Lepisosteus oculatus: one gene and its partners. The protein of the gene in region 2 purifies or fractionates together with the protein of the main gene of each other region. This does not show direct contact. Links are inferred from orthologs where the notes say so. Each region holds a gene or a part of one and is shown on either strand. Other genes may lie near its edges. The genes, in order: lamtor5, slc38a9, lamtor1 and lamtor2.

Region 1 (7,571 bases), on a different chromosome or scaffold from region 2:
TATGACATGAAGACTGCTTTATTCTTTACATGAAACAGCACTAATCTCTCCCTTCAGAGATTCAGAAGATGCATCGTAAATAGCCGTAACAACCTGCTTAACACTATGAACCAGGAGAAAATTCTGGAGCCTCTGATGATAGATGGCTCAGTCCTGTCTCTCAACTAATTGCAGACTAAGTAGAATGAGCAGATGTTCCATTAGTTAATTAATAACAATGTCTTAAAGAAAGGTCACTGGTTGGTAGAGAGACAACAATGAAAATTAAGATCTTACCCCCTGGATTTGTAACTAGGAACCTTCACTCACCTCAGCTATGATCCTGGATGGAAAACCTGTGGTTTGAATGCCATAATGTATCTGTTTTTCTGATCACCTCATGCTGCAAAGAATACTTGGTGTCAGTTTGAGCTGCATTAGAATGATATGGTAGTTAGCCTCACTAGTTTTGGGTTTTGGGTTTTTCTACAGTACTTGACTAACCTCAATACTCATCTTTTTAAAAAGAAGTGCTTAATGCAATTTGGTTTTGTGGAGGAGCCAGAGGCTATCCTGGCAAGCAATGGGCACAAACAAGGGCACACCCTGGACGGAACACCAGTCCATCGCAGGGCACAGACAGACACAGACAGACACAGACATGCACACACTCACACCACGGCCAGCTTACCCACAAGCCAGTTAACCCACTAGTAGGCCTTTGAAATGTGAGAGGAAACCAGAGCACCCTGTGGATGTGAGGAAGTCATTTGTAAGAAAATGTTTGCAATCTTTAAACATTTGACACAAGATTCAGAAAACAGACATGGATACAAACATTAAACTCTAAACACTTGTCATAAATTCTTGAATGAAAATAATTTGCATTATTTCTTCCAACATGGCATAGACAAGAAACGTTATGGGTAGATAAGGTAAAACAAACCATCCTGCCACCAAGAGCTGTGTGAAGCTGAAACAGCCCAGCTAAACCTGTCGGACTGCAATAAAAAGACTTTCCAGTATCAACACAAAAGAACCCGAGTCACCATCTCTGGATATATGGTGCATCTGTTGGTGACCTATTGTACAGCATAGATTCGCGATAAGGAGTTTCATCCATTTGAAACCATGACACAAGGCAGTTTCAGACAGCACTCCCACCAATGCTTAAAATAGAGCTGCTCTTTTCAAAAGACTGAACTCACAAGAGATGAGAATCTGTAAAGAAGATCGCGTGGCAATGCTGTTATCGGTGGTCTTGCAGTGAACTGCTGACCTGAGGAAGGGCCAAGCAGATGGTGGTACGTCTGAATAAAGTGGGTCTGCATTAGTTATAACAGGGGAATCCTGGTACAGCACTGAAGAAATCCATATTTATGAAAATCAGAAAGCAGAGCTTAGTAAAACTCCTCAACTATTACGTGCACAAGTGTGGTTGGTACAGGATGAATTCAGGTTTTTAAATCTCTGTTCCTAGCTTAAAAATAAAATCAGAAGTTAACTGTTCCTCCCCCCCATAACATCCTTTATACTGCATCTTTAATTGGCTTAGGACACATTCAGAAAGAGTTCAACAAAGTGCAAAAAAGTTTGTGTTAAAAAGAAAACTGGAGAGAGAAACAAGAATTTAGAAGAAATTTGAAATAATCACTGAGACATCTTTGTGATCAACTCATTTTTCTTTGTCGTTTGGAAAAAAAGTCTGCTTCAACTCCATAGCAGAAATGCTAAATACTACTGTTTTAATTACATTTACAAATCGAACAGGATGGAGATCTTTCATTTTCTACACATCTGTTGTTTCAAAAAGTCCATGTTATTGCCTGAACCCACAGATTAACAAGGGACTCTAAAGACGAAAATCACAACAAAGACAGCTTTTTGCGAAATCAGTAAGGGCCTGTAGACTGGCTTGAGAAATTTGTCCTGGAGAAAGTCAATTGTTGACAGCTCCTGGTGTTTCCAAGCACTGCCATGTAAGATCTTTGAAAGGCAAATTCCATTATTAAATATTGCACAACCTCCCATCCCTCCAAAACACCCTGAATTGCTACAGTTGATCAAGGGCAGATCACCTTCCCCTTTCATCACCTTCATATGCCAAACCTAATTCTCAGGTGGTTTTCAAATAACAGTCTCACTTCCTTCCAGGCTCTATTCTTTCCCTGGCTCAAGCTCTGCTAAATCTCGAGCTGGTAGAGGTCAATGGTCATTGGATGCCACTCCTCTTCTGTGTTTTTAAACAGAACCTGACCAATTGTCATCCTTCAAATAGTCAGCTGACTGAGGATGGCAAGTTACCCCTACTGCCTTCTGGGGAATGTAGTTCAGGCAAGAATCTCCCTCTCAAAATGTGTAGTCAGGAATAGACTGACTGTCTCCAAGGGCGGACAGTTCTAGTAGTCCTGAATCTTAATCATGTAGGGATGGATGGGTTAGCTCTGATAAAATCCCTGTACATAACAACTCCTTTGCTTTTCTAGGAAAGAAGCTGAGTATAATGAATCCCAGTAGATAACATCTTTATTATGTATGCTTGCCTTTTTGTAACAAGGTTATATCTAAAAGTGCAGAAGCTTGGATGGTATTTTCGGTAAAATGCCCTGATGAGGACTTTTGTAATCCTTTTTATTAGATGAAATACAATGCACTTTCAGTGTGACTAAAAATAGCCAGACTTGAGATAGATGCTGTATGCTGTATTGCATTCCCATTTAAGGGTAGATGCGTGGAAAATAATTAATTCTAGTTGTGGCTGACCTTACTATAACGAGATATGGTATCATTACTGCAAATTAGAAAGGAATCCCCATGATACCGCAGAAGAGAGGGCTGGTGAGTTCATCCAGTTTGCATCACTTCTTCACCTTTCCATTATGGGTCCATCCAGTATTTAATGTTAAAGACTGTTAATGTCAAAAAGCTCATCTGAGAAAGGCTCTGTATGGTGCATTAGTCCATGATCAGGCATGTTATGAAGCTGAGAAAAATAGTCTATAATGAGTGAAAAATTGATTTAACAACACACAAGTGAAACGCTATTACACATGTACTGTGCATATTTGAAACACAGGAAGATGATTACCATATTAATATGTTTACAATATCCTGTAGGTTAAATGATATACTTTATACATGGTACATTCATTCATTTGTACTTTACACTAATAAAGATACTGTGACATTGCCTTCATGATATGTATTAAAAAAACAGGCATAGGAAAAACATTAAAATGTATAGTAGTAATGCTTAAGGAAATCAAACCTGAATTGTTTTATTCCAATATAAAATGGGGAAAATAACTAAAATGGTATTTTCTGAGGAAAATAAAACTTTTTTATTACTATTATCATGATTTGTTTTGTGTTTGTAACTACAGCGACCAGTACGATGGTCATACGGCTGAAGCTCCCCTGTGTACAGTGACCAGTTTGCATTGCTCAATCCACAGCTGGGCATGTGAGGAGAGTGGGAGCTGAATACAAGAATAGAGATCTCTGTGCTCCCTGATCAATGACTTTGACAGCTGGCCTGATTCCAATTTCAATCCATAATTCTTCCTCGCAGGGAAATTAATGAAGCCAAGGGCTGATTAGGTCTGAATCACTCCTCCATGACTAATTCAGGGTTATTTATCAGCGCTCTGTGGGCCAGGACACTGCACTACTCACACAGAGTTGTAGGCACAAATGATGTTCTCTCTAAAACCTGGGCGACTGGCACAGCCACACTCATACCGAGAATGTAATATAAAACAATGTAAGAGCTTAATCTGAGACTCACGTCAGCTCTTGATAAACTGCGATGAACAGTGTTATTGTCACCTTGCTGTTACCTTTGAAATTGATTTTGTAGGACATTTTGGGTGGCAGACCTGAAAGTACTATGGAAAGCAATTTAAGAATCTTATGAATCTTAATGCCAACATCCAAATGTTTACAAGAAAGTAATGCCTTTTCTCTTCATAGGTTTGTTTAATTTAATAGCAGTGTGAGATATACCATCCTCATCAGACCATAAGTTATAATGGAGGAACATCATTACTGTGTCAGTCATCATTTCTAAGAGTATAGGGATGAACTGTTCTAAATTTAATCACTTCAATTCATTATTTTAATAAAAAAAACAAATCAAGACCATTTGTATTCTAGTGCATCCACTGTATTTTTATAATGTTTGTTCCCAAAGCTCAGAATTTATTAAACACCCTTTCAAACTTGATGAATGAAGATGGCCATGTTTAGGAACATCTAGGTTCATAGTTTGAGTTCACATCCAAATACCCTGCCAACAGTCCTCAGTGAGTCATTCTTTGTGGCGCAGAGTGCCGCCTTCTGATTTTCTAAACAATTCTAGCAATTATTATTATTATTAATTAATTATTAATTATAAATAATAATAACACTTTTTCACTTTTCACTCCATGGGATGGCAGGAAAAAAGCTGATTAATGTTTAATAGTGTCTCTAATGTTTAATACATGAAAAACTACATCTTACGTGGTCACTGAGGTTGACTCAATACTTTTGTCTAAATCGTATATATCGCTACGCTGGTTTGACTCTTGTGGGCTTCCGTATAAGGTATTAGTCACGTGTGTAACTGTCAGCTGACTGCTGCCCATAGTGAGGAAAACGTCTCTGTGCTGTATTTTCCACAATTTACATTGTTTTATTTTTGTAATTTATGTTACTGTGAGCCTTTAAAGAATGGAGTCAACACTAGAACAGCATCTAGATGATACGTGAGTTTTTTTTTTAATATAATCCGCTTTTTAAGTGTTTTACTTTGGGGAAAAAACAAACGCGATCTGGAATAATTAATTATCTAAAATATTTGACCTTTTTAAATATAAATTATACATAGACAGCGATTTTAATATATAATCGTTCTAAACATAATTGGCTAATTCCAAAAACGGTACTAAAGTAGTTCCTTTTTACATTTTCATACCCTAGTATTGAAAGAAAAAAAATAGATACCCACGGATTCACTAACAAGTTATCTGAGTTAAAATAATGTATTTGTTTACTTTCAATATGGCTTTATTTAAATATTTGTTTTTATAGTATTTCTATTTTTCGTTGACCCAAAAGTTGATCGCCTGCCTTTACCACTAATGTCGCCAGAGAAAGACTTCAAACGTTTTACTTTCTGAGCGATATCAGGGTACATACGCGCTCTTTAAATGAAACAAATCTGTCTTCTGCCTGTCAGAATGAAGAACCCTGCCATCGTGGGGATCCTCTGCACTGACCAGCAGGGCCACAACCTGGGCTGTGAGTACACACACCTGTCCCACGGGCTGTGCTGCTTTGTTGAAAACATCGCTTTGCCACTACCTGTTGTTTCAGAGTCCTGGAGAGCCGCAGTGCTTCTTAATTTACTTAATCTGTTTACAGTTTACCACCTTTTTCAAGAGTTCAGTTGCATAGAGTTTTCTGTAATGCCTGCAGAATGAAAAATATAGTAAAGAGAAGTGGTCCTTCCTTCGTGTTCTGGAAGGCTTCCTGTGATTCTGGTTTTCATTCCATTTGAGCTGTTACTTGCGAAATTAAATCAATCATTTATTGAAGAGTGAAGGAGTATGGATTGGGTTCCCTTTAAAAAGGGAGCTCTCTAGGACCAGGAGAGAGGGTCGCAGCTACGGGCAGTCCTGAATTTCAGAACGGTACATTAGTCCAATGGGAAGCTTCAGCACGGAGATCAGATGGCCTTGCTGCTGTTCACGCACGAATGGAGCTTCCACAAGCACGGCAGTGCCTTCACAACTGTGACTTTGAGTGTTGGCGAAAAGGGGGGCGCAGTCGTTTCAATACACAGGGTTCAGGTATCTGTGTGCCGGCTCTGACCTGCCCTCTCCTGCTGCTCCTGTCTTGCCATTAGGCCGCGGCACGCTGTCTGATGAGCACGGCGGAGTGGTGTCAGTGCTGGCCAAGCAGGCGGCCCAGCTGACAGCGGACCACACTGACTGCCCCACGGTGTGCCTGGAGTCGGATGCTGGGTAAGAGGGGGCAGGAGGCTCTGACTCTGCCTCGCTGAACAATTGGGCTTGTTAAGTGCACGGCTTTTACTATTTCATTAAGTTACACCCAGTTCTTTAAAAACGCCTCGTTTCTCATTGGTGCGGTTCAACTACATTGCCTAATTTATGCAGAGTCGTCTTACTTAATGTTCTATATGATTGCAAAACGTTTCTTATACCTTTCTACATGTTGTCACATTTTCTTTCCATTTCTCTCTAGGCATGCTACTGTAGGTACAAAATGCTTGTGTTCAGTGTCTGTTAGAAGGGATTTTTTCTGTATTTGCTTCTTTGCTTATACTGCCACCCTGTGGATTTGAACTAAGAAACTGGGGTGTTAGTTGTCTCTGAGTTTTACAAAGCGCCCTGAAAACTCTGCAGTGGGGATGAGAACTTCACTCCTTAAGGGCTATACCGTTCAACAACGGAAGACCAAAACAATAGGATTTTTTTTTTGGCTAAAATATTTCATTTGTTTAAATGAATAAATGTCAGAGGCGAATGAAAACTGCAGGAGCTGCCTGTCTCAGATCTACAAAGTTTTTCTTTTTCCAAAGCTCTGAGGAACTGGGCATTAAACAGGTCTTATGACACCATGGCACTAGTTGTAAAAGAGGATGTTTAAACCTCTCTCATCTCATGCTTGGGGTCATTTATTCCTGGAACTAAAGTCCTTGTTTATTTATTCTTGAATTATGAAAGACACTTTCTCTTCTCTCTGTAGGAACATCTTAATAAGGACACATGGCACCATTACAGTAGCTGTGCACAAGATGGCATCCTGATTTTTCAAGCAACAAGAAAACACTTTACTTGTTTCCCCACCCCCTTTTCTTTGTTTTTTTATGAAGCGCATAACAAACTCCAAATGGTCATCTTCCAATAAAGATAAAAAACAACTGAATAAGCATTTGAATGTTGAGACCATTGGAATACAATTTCTTGTGTTAACAGTTTAGTAACATATTGCTTTGTTTTCATAGAAGGATGGCGTCAGTCATTCAGACACAAAGTTAGACATTGCATTTCTCAGTCATTTGTGCTCAGCTCCTCCATTTTAATGAGCAACTAGTTACAAATAGTTTGGGGATTGTTGGAATGCTTGTGTATGTACACGAGCTTTTCAAGGTGAATGTCTGCTGGCTGCCTCCCTGATAGGTACAGTACAATGTTTCATAAGTTCAACTGATCTGAACTTTGCCCAAGGTCGCCAAAAGGTGCATAGCATGAGGTCATGCTACTGAAAACTGAAGCAAATGACAGCTATGTCATAGTCTGGCCAGCACTGGGCTGGGAAAACAATTTGCTAGTTTCAGTCTTAATAAACAAGTTCTAGGTTACCCTTAAATGTGTTTTTGTCCACCACACCATTGGTGGAGATTCAGTGGCAGAAAATGGAACTTTCAAATGGACAGGTAGCAAAATCTCATACATCATAGAAATGAAGGGCATATTTTTATGATTTGTTGGTTTGAATCATGACTTTTATGAAAGAAACACTGGGCACTTAGCAGAGGATTTGAACTCTTTTTGTCATTAAGCATGTTTTCTGCTGTGCTTTGC
Region 2 (7,042 bases):
GCAATCATTCACATTCAGGAAAATCAAACACTCGTGTATTACACATGTACGAGCTCTTTGGCTGGCTTTTAAGCTCCTCCTCTTCGTTCTATCACCATGTACAGCAACCTTGAGTTTTGGAAAGGTGCTTCATAAACCAAATAAATAAAATCCATAAATACTAGTATTATTAGACCTTCACATCATTCGTTAGGGGGGACTGAACCTTTTCAGCAGTAGCCCACCCACCCCCTCCCCATCTTTGGGGCACAATTCCCGACCAGATCAAAAACACACCCTCACACTGATATTTTTAAATCTCGCCTGAAGGCTGACTTGCTCTCGATGGCCTTCGACACCTAACAATTCTTTTACTTTCATAATTGATGCACTTTTTGGAATTTCTTTTTCCGACTTCTACACATTTTTGTTGTGTACAATGCATGCAAAGAGCCTCGAGATCGCCCCGATTGAAAGACAGGAATGAAACCGACTGCCGAGAATGAGGACAATCGCGCATTACATGTTTTTGGAAGATTGCAAGAGAACCGGCTCACACAGCTCTGCCAAAGCAAAACATCAGATTCATATCCCCTCTCGTTGTTTCGAGAAGCTACTTTTAAAGGCGCCATATAAGATCGTTTATTTTTACGGATAAAATAAGAACGCAAAAGGAACGAAGACGGCCATCACGGTGCAGAGTCGAGGTGAAACAGAGGAGTTCAGGAAATTGGTTTTGAATCAGGGATCCTCAAAAGTTTCATCCTCAGTCCAACGGGAAACAGTGCTCATGGTGCATCTGTTCACCTGCAATTCTCTCAGCACCCTCTCCTGATTGTATCTGGGCTACTACTTGAGGAGTAAGTACTGCAAAAGTGTCTTCGCACCGAGTCAAAATTAAGCTCCAGACGCGGCGCCTTTTGTCTTCTATCGTTTTAATTTACTTAACGAGCAATTAACACAAGCATGGCCATCACCGAAGGTGCGAACGTACAGCAGGCTTTCGATCAATTGGAGGGAAGGCGGGATGATTTTCCTTTCCGCTGCTCGCTTGGGGCAAATTAAATTATCATTCAACATCTCAGTGCATCTCTTCTTACTGGGATACGTTGGTCGGTTTTTTTTTTAAGTCGCTTCAAATATTCTCGTTATACGAGAACACACACCTGCTTCCAATCAGCAAAACCCTTAGAAAGGCGGGGAAAACCAAATCTAATACATCAAGCCTAACTACACAATTTAACTATAGCTCCTTTAATTCAGAATTAGTCTGAAATCGCTTCGCAAAATACTTCACACACCAAATAACATCTAACCTAAGGGTGTCGTAGAAACTCCCGGGAAAACGTTTCCTCCCAAACGAGGCGCCAAAAAAGCCAAGGCTGAGCAGGCCCGACTTGCGAGCAAACTCAACTGCAATACTAAAATCACCATTTAAGTTGTGTATTTAAGAAAAAACGACAAAGCGTTGGAACAGTTAATCATTTGCAAATAAAACCCATTCACCATTTTGCATAGCGCGTATATATATATATATCGGCCTCAAAGTGCTTGTAATAAAGACGAAAGGGCAATTCAATATTTTAAAATGACAAGAATTACACCTGACGCCAACATAGAAGGGAAACGGAAAAAGTACAAAGACATACAACTACACTAAAACATTCACCATGCGGAAAGGTACGATTTAAAGAAAACGGAACTACATACTCGGTTGCACATTACTTACGGATTACTGATTTTATTTACGTCGTTATTTTAACGAAAGAGATTGACTTCAAAGCAAATAGCTCCGCGCCAATGTCCCCCAGTCCCGCTTCCACTCGGTCTCGAAAGAAGCCGCGTTTCAGCTCCGAGCCCGGTTATCAGCTGGAACGAAACACGTGGGCAGGATCGCGCGCGTCCTTCTCCCCGCTCGGCACCGTGACGTCACGACACACGAGTCAATTTCTTGAAGTCAGCGCGTCTATCTGCACCTTGCTCCCGATTCTTCATCGGTTCTTTGTTCCTTTTTACAGCTGATGGGCGTTTTGATACATTTTTATGCTAAGAGGCCCTTAAAGGTTAACTGAGGTACGAAATGGGTTACAACCGTATACCACTTACTGAGGCTCAGAACCGCACTGATTCCGTCGTGTTAACTGAAACGTAATCAACTGGAATCTCCGGAGGTTCGTGAGGTTCAAAAAGCATTCAGGGTGGGAATGTGTGATACTTTGTCAGTCCCACCTGTGTCTGTTCACCTATTACACCTATTAAGAGCGGTTAAGAAGCAAACTCTGAAAACAAGTTGGGGAGACGCTGCTTAAAGGTAATCATGTAAAAGTTGACACATGAAATTAAGGGTATTTTAGAAACCAAGACTTGTGAAGCTAAGCAAGCATTTTGGAGGTTACCTTTTAACTTGTGTTTCATAACTAATTTAAGATTTTTCACTTTTAAATAGAATCTCACTATTAGGTCAATAATAGGTCACAATCTCACAGGTACGTGGGCATCCAAGACCAGAATTTGGAAAACATGATTTGGAGTATCCTCCAGAGACCTACACATTGGCAAGAAAAAGGGAAAACTCATTTCTGGCTTATTGGGAAAGGTTTAATAACTGGTTCTAGTTCTGGATGTTCTGGTGCTCTGTTAAGATCTGCATACACACGGGCTTCATGTTTGTCCTTCTTTGTATTAGAACATAAGGCTGTTATGCCCAACTCCTCTAGCTCTTTTTCTTTCAGTAGTTAATTGATCCAAAGCTCTCAGCCAGCTCTTTCCTAAAAGGAGTCAATATATCAGCTTCAACAATATCAGTGAACTGTCTGTGCAGCCATATTGCCATTCATGGCCTCCTATTAATCCCTGTCTATGAATTGGGTTCATCACTCTGATCTCCTCCTTAATGATAGCTGATGTGTGGTGAGTGTACTGGTGCACTATGGCTGCTGTTGTATCATCCTGGTGGGGCTGCACATTGGTGGTGACGGGGAGTCCCCATAACCTGTAAAGTGCTTTTGAGTGGAGTGTCCAAAAAAGTGCTATATAAGCGTAAGCAATTATTATTATTGATAAACAATTCAGTATGATCCAAAGCTCTCAGCTCACACTATTCTACGAGAGCTTATCAGTGCATTGTACATTTTAAACTGTACCCTAAATTTCTTCTGCTCACGTATAAGGCATTAAGTGCTTTAGCTCTTGATTATTTAAAGCACTTTCTGCTTGAATATAGTCTAGCACATAACTTTATACTTTACCTGCTAAATCTGACCTTTTTACTTGTTTATTTCACTTTGCTTTTAATTCTGTTGTGTATTATGTGTGCTACTGAGCGCTCAATGCTTCTTGCAAATGTCTCAAACAACAATTGCCTTGTTATCATTTACATAAGATCCTATCATGTCGACCATCTTATGAGCCCAAGGCAGCTTCAATATTCATGTACATTTTGCTTTTATTAAGCATTCAGATGTTGTACATGTTTGTCTTTATACTATACCGTTTGAATTATTTTCTTATTAGGTTCTGTATTGTTTGGGTAGTGCAAGCTGTGCCCTGTTTAGGATATGTTCTTGTTATTTGGTCGTGTTCTTTTAGGAAAGCTTTATGGCCTAAGAATCATGACAAACATAGGAACAGGTAAAGGTTTATTCCATGCTGAAATGAAAAGAAAAAGAGACAGCGTTTTGCCTTTTTCAGGTCCCAAACATACATAGGACATATATAAACATAAAAACGAACAATGACAAACATGACAATGACAATACCCCTCTTCATTTAAAAACAGTAAAAACTAAATCATTTATATTCTGAATTAAACATAGATGTGAATACATTATTGTGCACGAAATAATCACATTTCTCTTCAGTCAGGTGAGACTCACGAATTCTTTCTCATCTCTTGGACTGTCTACACAGCCAGGTATCAAACTCAGCTGACTGAACTGTAGGCATTCTGGGTAGTGTAGTTGAGTTGAGAGTATGCCCAATACCTGTCCCTTCTAAAACACTACAGACCCTATAAGGCATTGCGACAGCTAAGCATGTGCAATGCACGTTCGCATTGTTTCCTGTTTTTAAAACGCTGCTCGAACCGTGAGGTCCGGGGGTTGGTGTTTGGTGTCTGGTGTCTTTGGTTTTTAATGTAAGTTTAAACGGGTTTTTTAAAGTTGATTAATAGCTCTTATAAAAGAGCAGGGCTGTTTTATGGTTTCTAGTTTGCAATCATAAGGATTATATTGGTATTAACAGTTTAAATTAGTTGTTCACCCAGTAATTGATTTCTCGGTTAACTTTACGGTACTGGTCATAATAGTTATATTGTTTTTAAAACGAGTCAGTTGAGTACAATTTAGGAAAAGGTGTAGACGTATTTTACTTTATAGCACCTCGATAAACGTACGAGCTAGTTAAAGCTAACGTTTTCAGATAAAATGTGTGAAATGGATGTGGTTTACCTATATTGTGAAATGTGTATTCCATGAATTTCATTTTATGTGCTGCATACAGTTCAATTTAAGGATGTCCGATTTGTAATCCCGATATATATATATATCGCTCTGTATAGAAAGCATCAAACGTTGAAATGTGAGGGGTTATGCTTCTTTTTACTCTTGTATTAGGTAGTATTCTTGTATTTGTGGCTCGGTATATGATAACTTAGGATACGCGGCATTCTGAAATGGATATTTATACGTAATTTTCGAAGCAGAGCAATTGCAAAGCAAAGCCAAGAATAAGACTCTGAACATCTCTCCCGTTCTGGAATTTTTAAAAAGCCCCTGTGAATTCTGGCACCCTTGTCGTTTCTTGGAAAGGACGAGCAGCTGTTGCTGCCCTTACAAACTGAACAAATTGTTTTAACTACACGATATTAATGTTTTTATCAAGGTTGCGGTCAAAACAAATCCGGCAGCTCAGACGGGAATTACTTGTTTTTTTCCCCATCAATTATTCCACATCAGGGTAGTGTGAATAGTCAACGATGAGAGCTGCCGTAATTCCTTACAGTCTATTCTATTGCAGGAAAGTGCACAGATATTTATTTCGAGGTTTTATGAAGAGGTGCCTCCGTTACAGTTATTATCACGACGGTATACTTAGCCAGTACGTATAATTCTCTAGTTGTTTGTGTTCTGTGTAACTCCTAACCATGGCCCTGTGATCCCTCTCTAGAACCCTGTGCTATATGTATTGATTACAGCTAGTTGGCGTTTTAACTACTGAAAGACTGAAAGCTGCCTTGTAGCTTCCTTTATCAATTGTTGACTTTCCACAGTTCCCTGTGTAACAGAAAATGAAAATATCTGCATACTTGTCAAATTGAATGGATTAAAAATAGCAGTAAAACCCGCAGTTATGTAAGGCATGTCAGCTCCCACAAAAAAAACATCCTACAGAGAAAATGAAAAAAATGCCTCTCATAGGCTGAAGAGAATTTATTTCATACTAGAATAGAATTTCAAATAGAATAGGATTTGTTGTATCAGCACTAGGGATTTCGATTTGGGTACATTGGCATGTCAAACACAACCTGTTCTCTTAGGGTTAAATATATTCTAATATGCGACTTTTAAAATTACCCTGGTCTCTTTGGATTTAAATGTGTAAATATATGTATGTATCATGACATCTGTTATGTGAAAAAACAGGTCAACACCAAAAATGAGAATTTGAAATGCTTATCTGTGCCTTGTGGTACAGAAGTTGCATACATTTAATCACTTTTCTTAGGAAGAAATGGAATCTCCTTTCTAATAAGCTAGGTTGTTCTACAGAAGGTTTGTAGTAGTGGATTCATTTATAAATATTTAATGAATAACTAAAACAGCTGAGTCAATACTGAATACTATAAGTGGCCATTGGTGACATGTAATGATATTTCAGAATTTTTATTTTTAAATATCATTTTTATGTAATGATATTTTAGAAGAGATAATCATGTAAAATCCTGCCTTATTTCAATGAAGAGATGCTGAGTTCCTCATTTTTGAAAATTGAACTTGGAGCAGAGGCATCTAATTCACCTTCCCATTATGCCGCTTCCTGTATTTCTTGGCTTGTTCATGTACAAACACACTGATTGAAACCTCCCTGAAGACCTGCTGTTTGCAGGAGATTTGTACACAACAGGTGGATCATGTTTTAGTCCTAATTCGAATAAAGAGTTTTTTATTTACCAATCTAAAATCATCTGTGCGCTTTAATGGCTATTATCACCAAATCTAAATATGAAAAGTGTGTATTTACAAAATAAAATATTTTGTTTTAACCATAGGTTTTGCAAACTTCCATTTTCCAGTGAGAGACTCCCTTCTAGTTACTTAAACCGGTTAGTTTTAAAATAATGTATAGACCCATGAAAATTAGTCGTAAAAAACAAATCGGAAGGCCATTACAAGAACTTTTGCATTTGAACGGGCAATGTTGCCGCATAGTTCAAGTACAGATGGTATCATCAGAAATTTCAATTAGGGCATCGGACAAGTTTTCTAGTTCATAGCGGACAGGCTTCAGTTGAAGTTATTTATTATAACAATAGCTAAACAACAAATTGCCTTACATCCAATATAAAAGTTTCCAAAACAAGCATAAGCTCTACAGACCCAGAAACCCAGAATCCCTGTAACCTGAAATCAGACAGTGTATAATGCCCAATCAGGCCAAAAATCAGGCCTGGTGTTCTATATTCACAGAAACCAACTCAGTTCAACTCAGTTTTTCCTATAATCCTGGAAGTCCAAAAGTCAAAGAGACTCAATCTACCTGTTCTAAAAACCCTTCACAAGACCCAAGACCAAATTCCACTCACCTAGTGCTTCTGTTTCCTTCTGTTAATTCCCTGTCTCTCTCTTCATCACTGTTCCCTGACCTTTCTTTCCTGCCTTCTTATGATGTCTGTCTGTGTGTTAAATGTGTATTCTTCAATTTTAATTAACCAGAGTAGATTTATTTTGATCCTCTGTCTTTTACAGCCCACCCACAGCTAGGTAAACAACTCCGTTTCTTCCTATTGTTTTTTAATTTTACAACCTCTTAAGCCATAACAATATTAACAAATATGTACTGACAG
Region 3 (7,201 bases), on a different chromosome or scaffold from region 2:
CTGTGACAGTGTGTTACTGAGGCCTACCAGCCTTGTACTAAAACATAAGCAGCAGAAGTTATCATTAGAATTTCCACAAAACGTATTACCTTCTTTCAAAGAAAAAACGATCCAGCACATCACTGGATTAATTGGCGTTTTAACAAGACTGTCGCTTGCATTCCATTACGAAGATCATGCTAAACCTCATCTATAATCTTCACAAGCTAAGCATTTCTAACAGCTAGAAGGCCATTAGTAAATTTCGACTATGACAAATTTGATATTCAGGCCATCTGAGGAGTTCAGTTGAAGTCAACTGCTCAAGGAGTAGCTGGAGTTACTGTTATCTGTTTAGTGTGTCAGTTAGTGGCCTTAATCCAAATTCTATTCAGAACAAGGCTGCCAAATGAGTTTACTGAAATGTTAATTTCCCTCCATCGTGCACTTAAGTGCAATACGTAAATAAAGTTTAACTCTATGGTTACAAATAAATCAAGAGACAGATACTCAATATGCTTTCAACCAAACAATCCTTATGAACAGACATATGACCTATGTCCTCTAAACAAACGGAGTAATTAAATTTAAGTGCCTACAAATTGTAAGGGGCTTTATTACTCTTGTGTAAATGATACAATATAAGTGGACCCAATTATTGCTCCGAGTGGTAACTGAAGTACTCTGTATTTCTGTGAATATTTGTATATCATCTTCAAAAGAGCTTGTCTTGCACTCATGGGTAGCCATCATCCACAGTAACACTTTAAGTTTGGTTTATTTTTTTGGAGAGTAAGTTGGAGTCCAGGGTTTAGCTGGATCATGGCTTCCACTGGCTACAGACAGTGGCAAATTCAGGACAGGTATCATGTTATACAGAAACCAAGCACTGGACTTTTGAAGAGATACATTTTCCAGGAAACATTTTAGATGTTTTTATGATTCTGTATCAAAAGATTCTAGCTTTAATACTTCATCAGGCAGAACCTGTTTATCATCCAGAACAGGAATTTGTTTTAAGGAAGCAAAGATATTTTTAAATGTCCTAAGAACAAGCAACATAGTAGAGAGTTGGAAGTTTGAACCTACCTATATTGTCGAGCTTTGTCCATGTACTCATGCTGCTCCATTCCCTGGGAGTCTGCAGCTGAGACATCAATTATATTCCTGGAGAGCAAAACAAGAATGAGCCTCTAAGTTCCCTGTCCCCTCAGTGTGTTCAGACTACCACACAGCAGCCAGTCTCACTGTGTGGATAAGATGCTTCCATTCCACCATCTACTTACAGTGCTGTCTTGGTGAGGATGGACGTGAGGAGGGCCTGCTCATCTGTCCGCGCTGAGGGAAGGCTGGCTGAATTCCTCTCTGCTCCGTTGGTTGGTTTATTGTCCGGGTTGGGATGGGGGATCAGCGGTTTCCTCTCATCTCGGTCCTGAAAGGCAGCAATGGTGCATTTCATCAAACGCAAGCAGGGAACACCGGGAGTGAGCGCCTTAGCTGGACAATTTAAAAATCGCAAATTTAGAAGCAGATGATGGGTTGCTTGCTAAATATAAACCCTGGGCTGTTATTTGTCTGCCAGGACTGAAGCTTAGAAATACCTTGCAAATCAGGTGATGAAAATATTCCATATCTCAGTACAATATTTTAAAAAGTACACTGTGAACTACACCTTTGACAAGAAATACAATTTTCACCATGTCTGCCAAACTGAACACAACGGCTAAGCAATACATGAGTTTTTACATTTAAAAAAAAATGTGGTAATGAATCACTATAGTCCTGGCTTGAATATGTACCCTGTATAAAATGTGACAAATTGTGTAGTGTTGTGTGAGAGTTTTGTGAACTATGTAAGTCTAGGCTGAAGCTTCCTAAACCTTCCTTAACTCAATAACTTTCAGGACAATTAATTGGATTTGGTCAAAGGCCTCCGGGGATGTAAAATAACAAAATCAACCCACTGCACAGCCAGATACATGTTCCAGCTAATCTCTGAGCTATGGGTTTCAAATGAAATCCTCAGGTGGATCCAAAATCACTTTTGCATAGTGGCATTCGCTTATAGTATTTTGGCCATAAAAAATGCTTAACCATTGAAAATCCAAGCCATAGTTTTAACAATGCAAAACTAAAAACAATGCAAAGTGTTATACTATAAGCAAATATCTTTCTGAGAAGACATGATCAAATAACATCCTGACACATCACTGAGGAAAAGGAACAGTAGAGGCTGGTGTCCAATTGGCTCATTGTGCATGCACTCTGAAATTGTTCCGCCTGTCACTTTTTTTGTCCCACATGACTAAATATTTCATGCAAGGGACAGTTTGTCATGTGATTTGCACATTATTGCAAAGTTCCAGAGTCATGTGACAGACGAGGTTATTTTGTCATGCTGAATCAGATTCGTTTGTTGTTGTTGTTTTTTTTTTTGCCAAGGTTGAAAATTAGAGAAAAAAAATAAGAAATCAATAAATCTCATGCTGCACATTCTTTCGTTTCAGGTCATGCAATCCTGCATTCCTGTAGCCTTGTCATTTGGGTACTTTAGAAAACCATCTTTACTAAGTTCTAGCCCTAGTATGTTTGCCCGTGTAGTACTTTTGCCCTTTAGGCCCTACTAAACACACTACGTCTTCACAATTTTTGGTACAAACATTTTCTTTCTATACGGTAGCTAAAGGAATAGAGATGTTCTCTTCGGGTCAATCCAGTCCCGCATACTCCCTCTCTCAGTCTCCCAGGTTATGTTACATTAGGAATGCGTGTTACTGCTACCTCGACCATTGCTTCACTAGAACAGATCACAGCACCTGATCAGTGGCCTCCGTCTCGCTGCTATAACAGCAACCCATGGTATCCTCTGGGGGCTCTCGGCTCTCTGCCAGGCGAACCGAATGCAATCTCCAGCTTTTCTTCCCGGTAAACTAATTAAAGAAAGAAAGAAATTCCGGTGTGCAGGCTTGGGAAGACGAAAACCAGCAACCCCCTTCTCTTCTGTTCCTTCCGATCTTCCCCTCTCTCCAAACCCCAGGCTTGTAGTCACATGACAACAGCTCTGTAGCAATAACATATGACTTCCGGCTGACGTGAAGCGGAGTTGGGAGAAACCAAAACACCCTCAACACGTGATACAGGAACTGAAAATTGACCGTCTTGTCCGCCAGCTCCGTGCAAGAATAACAGTGGGGGTAGATTGTGATAGTACAACTACTGACATCTTTGTTGCTGTGTTTTGTACCGTTTTTGTTGTTATTACGTATGGTTTTAATTAAACATAACTAAAAAAATGTTGATTGCAAAGAATTTGAAAATAAGTGTAAATTACTAAAGCTGGCACTTCCAACACGTCCTCAAAGCACTGTAGTTAAATAACAGGTCTCAATTTTATAACCCTCAATAAACACATTTCCCGGATGGTATTACAGATGGCATTACACAATGCCTGGTTTAAAAACCAGTTTGACAGGATGTGTCTCGACCATTTCCCTCTTTAATTTAGGTGAATTACAGATCAGTCATGGCATTTATCTCCTAGCAGAACACCAGAGAAACACTCTTTCTCAAGCTCTGCGAAGACGGGGGACTGTACTTGGCGACTCGTATTCGTACTTGCAGCTAATGGAGGGAGAACCCAGCTTATCTTTCTGGCAAGTATGGTGAATGTCAATATTTAATCTTGAAACAAGAGACTGGATGCCGAAATGCCTCTTAAGCATCAGTTTGAATAAGTGAATAACGTCAATTAACTACACCGAAGACTGATTGTGGGGTTAAGAAACCTGATTTAAAGGCTTTTTAGTACTCAAAAGTACGAACGTCATGATGGCGGTATCCATTCCGTTTCAAGTTTGGATACTGCTCACATCCTGGCGCGTCTGTGCAGCTGACCCTTCGCTACAGTTCGCCCCCACTGGATTCAGCGCCAAGCGCCAGGTCTGCAAACCCATTCCTAACACGATGGGTCTGTGCCACGACGTAGGCTACAGAGAGATGCGCCTTCCCAACCTGCTGGGCCACGAAACCATCAAGGAAGCGCAGCAGCAGGCCGGCTCCTGGGTGCCGCTGCTCTCCAAACAGTGTCACCGCGACACCAAGAAGTTCCTCTGTTCCCTCTTCGCCCCCGTCTGTTTACGAGAGCTGGAGCGGCCCGTCCGGCCGTGCAGGAGCCTGTGCGAGGGAGTCCGGGACGGCTGCCTGCCTGTCATGAGCGCTTTCGGGTTTCCCTGGCCTGAGATCCTCAACTGCAGCCAGTTCCCGACCGGCGCCGAGGTCTGCATCCCGCCCACGGCTTCTCCGTCCAGCGACAACGGCAACCCGGGGCCCCACAGCAACGATATGGACGGTTTGTTGGAATTCACCTGTCATTGATTGTGTTGGTTTCAAATACTATTTTTAAAAGTCTGTCATCGAAAAGACACAGCGCGCTTTGCGAATTTACCTTTAGAGGCGCCATATAAAATCAATGTATTATTATTGATTTAAAAAAATCTGAAAGCGCATAAATTTAAAGTGGAAAGCAAGAGATTCGATTCTAGGGAGCGTGTTATGAAACGCGCAAAACGATACGTGGTTGTTAAGAGGTTTTGCATTAGACTTCAATGGTTGTGCCACTTCTCGGCTGGTCGTGTTTGATGGCAGAGTAGTTAATACTGTCTATAACAATTTTCTTCCCCGTAACATGACATCTACTTTCTATGAGGCAGAGGTGGGAACCTCGAAACATTGTCTGATATTAATCTACCACTAAATAGAAACACAAATTCGAAATAAAATACTTAAACGTTGTTCACTTGAAATGCTTACCACCCTCCGAATGTTTGCCGGTGAGTTGCTGCTATCTTTGCTTTTCTTTCATGTGCACGTTTTAAAGACGACTCAACTACGAATATGTTTCTAAAAAGATTTTTCCTTGAAAATAAATTAAGATTCCTTTTTCCTTCGCACAGGGACATTGATATGCGAGGCGTGCAGTTTGCCAGAAGGTGGGAAAGAGATTCTGGAGAATTACTGCAAAAGCGATTTTGGTGAGTTCAATAAAAAGTGGATGATCAGAGCATGTGCTGGAGTACCTTTCCTAATCCAAATTTTGTACGCTCCTCGTATGGTGCATGTGTTTGAATTCTATGTGCTCCTGGTATGTTATATTTGTGTTTAATTCGTGAGATTAAATCAATCCACCCAGCATATAAACATGCCGATTGCTTCAGAAAACACTGATTTAAAGTAAATTCTAATTTAAATCCAACTGGATGGTAGTTGTATTTAAACAATATCAATATCAGATATTTAAAATATCAGCTTTTAAAGAAAATATGTAGGAGTAAGGCTACCATCTCAAAAAATACCCTTATTTTTACCTGCATTTCCACATAAAGACTATTAAATTTACACTTTTCTGCTTTATTTGTCTGGATTTCTATACAGTCGTGCGACTAAGGGTCAAAGAGACACAGTTGCTGGGGGCTGACCGGAAGATTGTTCCTAACGGCAGAAGCCGGGTGGTGCTGAGACAAGGTGACCGCGCTGAGGAGGAGTCGATGGCTCGGAGCGCCCTCTGGCTGCCAGAGGGCAGCAGGTGCGCCTGTGAGGAACTGGATGGTCCCTCCTCTGGCATCATTCTGGCCCTGGGGAGCAGACAGAGAGGTAGACTGGTTCTCTCCAAGCTGCTGCTGTGGCAAAGCTCTGACAAGGAGCTGAGGAAATTCCTCAGGGGACTGCAGAAGCTCCGCTGCTGAGTGGATGGATCTTTACGTGTGTATTTAATGGGGAAAATAGGGGTGGTGAATATTAATAGAAGATATAACCTCCCTGTCCAGTATAACAGAAAAGTTCTCAGGGGTACAGAAACACCACAGTATAAATGACAAAGGTCTGGTTACATTAAATACCTTTAATATCAAATATGGAAAACGTTTCCCTCACTCAGGAAAGAGATTCCAATGTTTAAAAATGCTTTTCTGCATCAGCCATGTACCTTTGGGTCTCTTAAGGGCAATACAATGGGGAATTTAACTGAAGGTGTTGTATGTAACTAGCCATTAACAATTTAATTACTATATCAGAAAACATTGAATTATTTATATAAATGACAGCATTGGTGCATACGTTGTGTCATTTTCAGAAAGCATTTTTACAAAATAATAAATAAACATCAGCATTGTTAAGCAATAGCTTTTCCTATGATTGTTGTGTTTTTTGTTGCATGTTGTTTTATTACTGTAAATGAAATGGAAAATATTTCATATGTAGGTGGTGGTTGTGGGAGGGGGCATTAAATTGAGTCTACATTAAATGACTTTTCAATTTTTTTCAAGCCTAACAAATATCGTACCACCCTTTACAATACCCAGTAACATTTTTAGATCAATGTTACCTAAATCCAAGTGTCCAAACACAAATATAGTAAATTGTTGGACAGTACAGTAATTGCCGAGGTTTTAGAATTTCTAAATGGTTGTATAACAAAAATAAACCTCCATCAAATCGAAGGACTTCAAACCAAAAAACACGTTGATGGGGATGTTGTATTTTCCTGGTTTTTTTTTAGTAATGTGTTTTTTTTCCCATTAAAAATTGCTTGAAACAAAGGCTTTGTGATCTTTGAACAAAGGTCACATTACCAAGCCTCCCGGGGGTGAACTTGTGATGCGTTCTGGAGAATTCCTGTCGACGTGTTGCTGCGATAAGCGGGGCAGGTAACCCTATCCTTGAGGATCCCGCACCTCTTTCTCTCTGCGAATTACTGGATCAGCTTGGGGTCGCATCAATAATTCACACACCTCCTCTTAACAGCGGTGACTCGGCCAATTTTACCTGTCTTGCATTTAAGGCCCGAAGCTCAACACAGAGCTGCGTTTCCCCCAGCCCTAGAGTCTTCATCCAATATCTTCTCGAAACAGGTTGGTCTGAACTGCATTACCAGTGTTCTGATATTCAAGTGTGCTTCCGCTGTTTGTGGTCTGGGGTCTTTACTGTGATTAGTTCACATGCTCTGCACTAAGCATCGCTGTGAGGGGAACTGTTCCCACACTCAGGATTGTATGACAAACTGACCTGGGATAAAAGACCTGCAACATCTAGCTGTGATGAAACTGAGTACATAAATGTAAGGTGCTACTGGTTTGCTTGAAGCTTCTTTTGAGGCTCTGTACAAAATCAACAAATGTATGTTTCTGTGGTGTATACTGTAGACCACAAGTACAATGTATGGTATTAT
Region 4 (7,581 bases), on a different chromosome or scaffold from region 2:
GAACTTGAAAGATCAAGCGGTGAAGAACGAGGTTTAAAGTCTCATCCGAAGAGTAGGGCTTCAAAGCTCAGCTGCTGGAGACCCACACACCCACGGCAGCCCAGCGTAGCTCCTGCACTCAACCCTCCACTGTACTAACAACTTACCTGAGCGATCTGATTATTTGCCATTGAGTTTCCTACTCAAAAGTTGGGGATTTTACTTACGAAATGCGGTACAGTAGTTAAAACGTAACCTCCAAAATGTTTAGAGCTGAAACCAGTCAAATTAAATCTAAATATAAAAATGAATGAATCGATATTAATACATCCATTAAGAGTTCAGCTGTGGAACTGAGGGCTCGGCTGGGAACAGAAATCATCGGGTATGTGGTCCACCAGGAGCAGGACTGGGAGCCCCTGTCCTACAGCACAGCGCCCCCCGTCACTATGCTGAGACACTGTCTTGGAAATCCTGTCCCAGGGAGAAAAGCACCACCTACTACCAACACCGCTTACACTAGCAAACTGCTATTCCTGCAGTCCTCCCATGCCAGTGCAGTCCAGGTTCGGCCTTGATCAGCTTCCGATATCTCAGAAAAGAGGGCTAAGAGGTGATGAGGAACAAGTAAAGGTTTATTCCATGCTGAAAAGAGAAGAAAAGAAACACGTTTCCACGGTGGAGCCTTCTTCGGGTCCACAGTGGGAAACTTGTGTTTCCTTTCTTCTCAGCCTGGAATAAACGATTACTTGTTCCTTTGCAGACTACGCATGCTGACGCAGCTCCCCACTTGAACTACTGAGAGGTGATGATGCTATAGTCCTCTAGACTGCCTGTGGTCAGTGTTCGTGGTTGGTCCACTCTGACTCCTTGCAGCAGTAAGCAGTCTGCCGAAGCACTGGAGGAGTGGAACAGTCGACCCCTGGTGGGGACGCGGGGAAGTGCAGCGGCTCACCATGCAGTCCATGAGGATGAACTTCAGCTTGTCCTCGTTGAAGGCCTGGTGCCCGTTCTTGTCGTACGCTGCCCAGATGTTGCTGGCGATGGCGGCGGTCACGCGGGCATCTGTGTCCCCGTAGCCGGAGTAGGCCAGAAGGGAGCCTTCGTTATTCAGCAGGCTGGGGAAAGGAGCAGAGGGAAAGTCACCATCATCAAGTCTCTAACGGACTGCTGGAGCCCTCCTCTTATTCCAGGCTGGCTCCACTGAGTTTCCAAAGTAAGTGTTGAAGGCACAGTCTGTAGGAGGCACGGTGCTGTGGAGGTAAGCACTCCTGCCTCATAGTACTGGGGGTGCTGTCTGTGAGGAGTTTGCATGTTCCTCCAGGTGCTGTGGTTTGCTCCCACAGTGAAAAGGCATGCTGGTGGATTAATTGGAAGAACTGGCTCTGTGTGCGAGTGTGTATCTGCCCTGTGATGGACTGGCATCCCGCCCAGGGATGCTTTGCGCCCGTTGATTACCAGGATAGACTCCGGTTCCCCTGCAGTCCTGGATTACCATGACAACAGACCCAGGGAACCACAGCTAGCTCACTCGGATAACCGTGACGACCATGATGTTCCAGAGAACAGGATATCAGCCCTGGGCTTTGGGGAAACTGCTCACAATACATCATCATTAGTATTCAACTAGCAATAATCACGCCTCGGGCCAAACCTCATATACTGCGATACAGCCACTGTGCAAAGCTGTAACTGACCATCGGACACAGAGGAGAGGAACTCAGAAACTCAGAAACTGGCAGTGGGAAGAGATAAGGCTCCGGGGGTCCCCAGGCAGCATCGTCTCCCCGCTGGTCTAGTGGTTAGGGTTCGGCGCTCTCACCGCTGCGGCCCGGGTTCGATTCCCGGTCAGGGAAGGGTCTCCTTTTTTATGGGGGTATAGCTCAGTGGTAGAGCATTTGACTGCAGATCAAGAGGTCCCCAGTTCAAATCTGGGTGCCCCCTCTGTATGTGACTTTCATCAATTTATAAAGTATTATCTATCTATCATTACTGCACCCCAAACTCACTGCCCGGGGACCCCCGGAGGCTTATCTCTTCCCACTGCCAGTTTCTGAGTTTCTGAGTTCCTCTCCTCTGTGTCCGATGGTCAGTTACAGCTTTGCACAGTGGCTGTATCGCAGTATATGAGGTTTGGCCCGAGGCGCGATTATTGCTAGTTGAATACTTTTCCCAAACTAGTTATACTGCCATAGAAATCTGTAAAATAATCTGTGGCAAAGCGCTGTGAAGAGCGTTATACCAGATACATTGACAGACTGATGTGCTAGATGTTATGAAATTAGAAGTTAAACCTGGGATTCAGGTAAAAACGTGTACGAATACATAGAAAATTAATCACTACGTGGCCGTAAAAATATATTTTTTTAAAATGCTGTATACATTATTTAAAGTGAATTAATTAATTATTGATCTTCATTTGGTTATTTCAGGATGTTGCAGAGACACGTTCTTCTTCGGGTACTCACGCTGAGTATTTTATCATACGTTTTTTTTACTATCGCACAATGCAGTTCAGCCTTCCGAGAAAGCCTATATACCAACTGCCACCTTATTGAGTCGCGCTGGCATTGTAAACGTGCCGTTGCCGCTAAGGGGAAGTTCCTGCTGTTCCTGATGTTACTGGAGACCAAATACGAGCTTTTTCTGCAAGAGAGGCGAAGGCAGCTCAGATTGGGAAACTCGTTACCGCTTCCCACGCAGGTTACCCACGAATTTTGTTCGACAGCTGCGTTAAGTGTAGGTTATCTCCCACCCAGTCAAATATATTTTATAGCAGAACAGTCCGCATCAGTGAAAATATCAGGTGGAAACGTGGTTATTATAGCCTTCATCATTACTCACAGTGTACTCTGAACGCCGCTTGTATTCGCCTGGCTCAGAACTTGAGTCAGTGCCTTTGGTCGCAGCATGGTTGGAAAAAAGAATACGAAGAAATCAAGTATTAAATCTAAATAACTACAATACTTGTACTCTCCAAAATATACAGTATCCTCGCGGAAAGCACCACTCCGTCAGCTGACTGAACATTCCGGAAGTCACTTCCTGTTTACGTCTCGAGTCCACTGCGGTTCTGGGAATTGTAGTTTCCTTTTGCGACGCGGTAGCGTCCTGTGCACACGTCTCGATTGTAGTTTTCACAAAACTTTAACAGTTCCATTAAACAGCGGTTCAGTTTGTATCGCGGACAGATTTTATCCGGCGTAAGGCACGTACAGCGGACTTATAAATACCAGGTGGCCCCGTCTACTTTTGTGTCGTGTCCGTTTAGTTTGAGGCGCAAACAAAAAACTGTAGTACCTTTAACTCAGTACAGTACCCGAAATTAAGTACAGTATCTGTGTTTCTCCTCTGCCTGGGAGTACGGCCTTTTCTAGTGGGGTTTACCCTTGTAAAATCAACCCCCATCACCTTCCCCTTGATACAACTCACAAAATACTGCATCATACTAAACACCTGGGACTTGGTTAGCAGTATACATTACAATGCCCTCACGTTACGGACAGTAACACGCAGATTTAATTGACAAAAGTCTGAAGCGAAAAGCAGAAGGAAAAGCCTTGTAATGTGGTTAAAGGTTTTAAGTAGATAAGCTTATGATTTAGATATTACAATTAGCTTTGTTTTACGATAAAGTCTTGAAATACGTAGTACGAAAACCTGTTCAAGTTGTTATTGTACTCGAAGATAAGATAAACAAGTCTAGGCATGTTATTACTGTCGGTGTGATGTATAGTTTTCCAGATAACCTCGCCTCGGAAATGTTTAAAATACTGTACTTCTCATTATCATCATTATACACAGACGAGCGTTAACATAGAAAAAAGTTCACCTGTTATGTGTCTAATACCTCTCCCTCCATATTTGTGTGTAGAGTAGCTGCATTAGTTTCACCTGTTTTTAGAATAGTCACAGTCTGTGTCTGAAGCCTAGGTGTCTCAGGAGAAGCCCCTGGCCTTCGCTAGTCTGCACAGTAGCACAGTCCGAGCTCCAGAGTCTGTTGGGGATCGGGGTCAGTTACCATACACACCCCCAAGAAAGGCAGGCGAAGAGTCATTTCTGCGTTATTCAACAAAGTCTGCCAACCTCAGCACATCCCACCTATCGACAGGCGGGCAGAGAATCAAGGGGGCAGAGACGGGTTCTAGGGGTTAATGTTGTGGGAGGACACTCGTTAACCTAGAAGACCAATGCGGATCACTGCCTCAAGGTCCCGAGCGATCATCGTCCCTCCAAGCACGTCTTTCCTGCTGGGAGAAGAGCTGTCCAGGATGACAGAGCAAGTGTGGACACCCAGTAGCTTGATAAGCCTGACGCTGATGTTATTCATATATTATGGCCACCTCAGTCACCAGTTCTGCACCCAATCGAGCATTTACAGCATATTTAATAATAATAATAATAATAATAATAATAAAGCGCTTTACAGGTAATGGGGATCCCCTCCACCACCACCAGTGTGCAGCCCCACCTGGATGATGCGACGGCAGCCATAGTGCGCCAGAACGCTCACCACACATCAGCTATCAGTGGGGAGGAGAGCAGAGTAATGAAGCCAATTCATAGATGGGGATTATTAGGAGGCCATGATTGGTAAGGGCCAATGGGAAATTTGGCCAGGCCACCAGGGTTACACCCCTACTCTTTTCGAGAAGTGGCCTAGGATTTTAAATGACCATAGAGAGTCAGGACCTCAGTTTTACGACTCATCCTAAGGACGGCGCCTGTTTATAGTATAGTGTCCCCATCACTATACTGGGGCATTAGGACCCACATTGACCGCAGGGTGAGCACCCCTTGCTGGCCCCACTAACACCTCTTCCAGCAGCAACCTTAGTTTTTCCCAGGAGTCTCCCATCGAGGTACTGACCAGGCTCACACCTGCTGAGATTCAGGGGGTTGTTAGCTGTGAGTTGCAGAGTGATATGGCTGCTGGTAATATGACAATGCTTGAGACGGGTTTTCACCTCTGTCCACTAGGAGCGAGTTGACTTCCTTTCTCCTGGAAGAAGGTGCCGTGTCCCTCCTGCAGAATCCCAGAGGCTGGCAGATGTTACTCCACAGACCACACAGGGTATACAGGCCCAGCGCCCTCTTAAATCTCTTTACATTGTCATTGGCATTTTTTGTCCACCATAACAAAAAGACAAAGGATTAATCAAACTTGAACAGTTTATTCAAGTTGAATACGTATACTTTCTTTAGTCAGGAATCATGCGTCTTGGCAACAAGAAACACAGGCATGTAGATGTCCTCACAGCACTGGGGCCCTGGGGTCCTGTCTGTGTGGAGTTCGGATGTTCTCCTCATGTTCATGTGGGTTTCCTCCCTCAGGCCAAAGACATGCTGGTGGGTTAATTGACTTCTGGGAAAACTGGCCCTGGTGTGAGTTTGTACTTGCGTTAGTCTGCCCTGTGACGGACCGGCATTTCGTCCAGGAGGTATCCAGCCTTGCGTCTGTTTTTTATTGGAATATGCTCCCCCAGAACTCTATAATGGAAAAACCAGCTCGATACTTGACAACTGTACCCTGCAGTCTGTGACCTTAAACGTATGCTACCACTAAATGAGGAAGAGACTTCATCGGCTTTTAAGAGTATCACATTGCAAGGGATTTCAGGGCACCCGCCCAAGAGATAGATCTTGGCTAAACTGTAGTTCAACAGAAACTTGAATGACCTGGACTGGAGAAAATCAAACACCTGGAGTAGTTCCACCCGTCAGAAGTGACAGCTGAAATTTTCCCTTTTCTGTCGCTGCAGTCCAAACGGATTAACAGGACAGTACCCAACGTCTTTGGGTTAAGAAGGATTAATTCTTTTAGTTCTGCATTCATGGTAACTCCACAATATCTCACAATAAAGCTCATAATCAAGCAATAGAAAATCTTATTTTCTTACTAAAATAAAGTGCTCTGTGAGGCTTCTCACTACTGGTACTCTTTTTAAGTAAGTTGACATAAGTTGACTATTCTACCAAACATATTTCTATTTGATCGGGCACAAAACCATAGAAATAACTGAGAACACAAGTGACCAGAGGAAAACACATAAACACACGTATACTGTTATGTGCATTGTCTTTCGTGGCATAAAAGGTACACTAACATATAACACTGTACTGTAAACAGGCGTCGTCCTTCAGATGAGACGTAAAACCGAGGTCCTGACTCTCTATGGTCATTAAAAATCCCAGGGTGTTTCTCGAAAAGAGTAGGGGTGTAACCCCGGCGTCTTGGCCAAATTTCCCATTGCCCCTTACCAATCATGGCCTCCTAATAACCCCATGTCTGAATTGGCTTCATTACTCTGCTCTCCTCCCCACTGAGAGCTGGTGTGTGGGGAGCGTTCTGCCGCACTATAGCTGCCGTCACATCATCCAGGTGGGGCTGCACACTGGTGGTGGTGGAGGGGATCCCCATTACCTGTAAAGCGCTTTGAGTGGAGTGTCCAGAAAAGCACTATATAAGTGTAAGCAATTATTATTATTATTATTATTATACCCCATCCCAAATGAGAATTGGAAAACCTGAAAACTGCCTTTGGCTACCACCTAGTGGTCAGTTATGTGCACTCCAGATAGTCTGGAGATTGGCAATTGGTAAGAGAATGGCCATGACAAGATCAACATGACTGTTGACCAAATTTGAAAAAAAGGATGTTATGTGCTAACTCTACTATGACAATTCATTGGTTTAATATTTATGCATGTAATAATATGGCAGGTAACAACCACAGAGTTGAATAATACAATTTGAGTAAGCATTCTTTATACCACAGTTCTTGTGGTCAGTGCTTTGGGTGAGATAAGACAGCTCGCTGTTTAAAAGACTTAAAAATTAAACAAAACACAAAATAATCTGTGTACATGCACAGAAATCTCTGTGCATGTAATGTTTAATGATTTTTTTCAAAAATACACCTTTAAAATTGGCTGTTGGAATGATTTTGTTGGAATGGAATTTCTGCATTCTCTCCACCTTCCACGGCAACATCTCTCGTTTGCTTCCCGTTCGGTCATGGGTCCATTCTGAAAGCCTCTACCCCCAAAACAGGCGACTGCAATTCCTTTAAGACTTGCCCGTCTCTGTTGTGTAACGCCAGTCTGTGAGGGCTGGACACTTGCACTCTTTGACAGGGGCTTTAGAGGTGAGCAGCTGATGCTGGCCAGCGGGCGACTGCCTTCTGATCTCAATCAGTGGTGGAATGAAACTGTGCTCCCCTGGGACTGGTATTGCCTGTGAATGAAGGGTTTCAAAATCCCGGCCAAGCATGGCAAACAATTCAGGCCCCAGCTATTTCAAAACTTCAGTGCAGCAGCCAGAGGTAAACTGTACCAGGATGCTGGCCGTTCTGTTTGGAAGAGGCATTCAGGACTTGGTAATTGCCTCTACCACTGGGTTTGAAGCTGAATTATATTAAGGGCCTTTGATGAAGTGTGCTAACTACTCTGTTCCAGTTTCTGGCAAAAAAGAATGTCTTCCAACATCGAGCCGGGGCAGACATGAGACATCAAACATGCGCACACGTACCACTTTCCACATGTCAACTAAGAGTAGACCTTTTTGTCTGAATTGTTCGGTACAGTTCTTAAAAAAGGCGG

What was found.
Region 1: the proteins of slc38a9 (region 2) and lamtor5 purify together in Homo sapiens (co-immunoprecipitation; 5 studies listed by BioGRID and IntAct, with this or other methods). This does not show direct contact. The link is inferred for Lepisosteus oculatus from reciprocal best matches to the Homo sapiens genes SLC38A9 and LAMTOR5.
Region 3: the proteins of slc38a9 (region 2) and lamtor1 purify together in Homo sapiens (co-immunoprecipitation; 5 studies listed by BioGRID and IntAct, with this or other methods). This does not show direct contact. The link is inferred for Lepisosteus oculatus from reciprocal best matches to the Homo sapiens genes SLC38A9 and LAMTOR1.
Region 4: the proteins of slc38a9 (region 2) and lamtor2 purify together in Homo sapiens (co-immunoprecipitation; 5 studies listed by BioGRID and IntAct, with this or other methods). This does not show direct contact. The link is inferred for Lepisosteus oculatus from reciprocal best matches to the Homo sapiens genes SLC38A9 and LAMTOR2.

Annotation. Positions count from the first base shown.
Region 1 is NC_090700.1:37,465,823-37,473,393, reverse strand, and holds the start of lamtor5 (ragulator complex protein LAMTOR5), read left to right. Parts: upstream 1-4,571; 5' UTR 4,572-4,692; coding exon 4,693-4,727; intron 4,728-5,200; coding exon 5,201-5,262; intron 5,263-5,869; coding exon 5,870-5,987; intron 5,988-6,732; coding exon 6,733-6,793; 3' UTR 6,794-7,571. UniProt on the Homo sapiens protein: As part of the Ragulator complex it is involved in amino acid sensing and activation of mTORC1, a signaling complex promoting cell growth in response to growth factors, energy levels, and amino acids.
Region 2 is NC_090698.1:26,536,653-26,543,694, forward strand, and holds the start of slc38a9 (neutral amino acid transporter 9), read left to right. Parts: upstream 1-4,027; 5' UTR 4,028-4,114; intron 4,115-7,042.
Region 3 is NC_090700.1:12,730,405-12,737,605, reverse strand, and holds the start of lamtor1 (ragulator complex protein LAMTOR1), read right to left. Parts: upstream 3,012-7,201; 5' UTR 2,838-3,011; coding exon 2,796-2,837; intron 1,412-2,795; coding exon 1,266-1,411; intron 1,147-1,265; coding exon 1,069-1,146; intron 38-1,068; coding exon 1-37. Other genes in the region: sfrp2l (secreted frizzled-related protein 2-like), read left to right, coding at 3,805-4,327, 4,932-5,009, 5,410-5,720. UniProt on the Homo sapiens protein: Key component of the Ragulator complex, a multiprotein complex involved in amino acid sensing and activation of mTORC1, a signaling complex promoting cell growth in response to growth factors, energy levels, and amino acids.
Region 4 is NC_090722.1:3,022,390-3,029,970, reverse strand, and holds the start of lamtor2 (ragulator complex protein LAMTOR2), read right to left. Parts: upstream 3,021-7,581; 5' UTR 2,892-3,020; coding exon 2,824-2,891; intron 2,218-2,823; exon of another isoform or gene 2,077-2,217; intron 1,924-2,076; exon of another isoform or gene 1,852-1,923; intron 1,668-1,851; exon of another isoform or gene 1,585-1,667; intron 1,098-1,584; coding exon 935-1,097; intron 1-934. UniProt on the Homo sapiens protein: As part of the Ragulator complex it is involved in amino acid sensing and activation of mTORC1, a signaling complex promoting cell growth in response to growth factors, energy levels, and amino acids.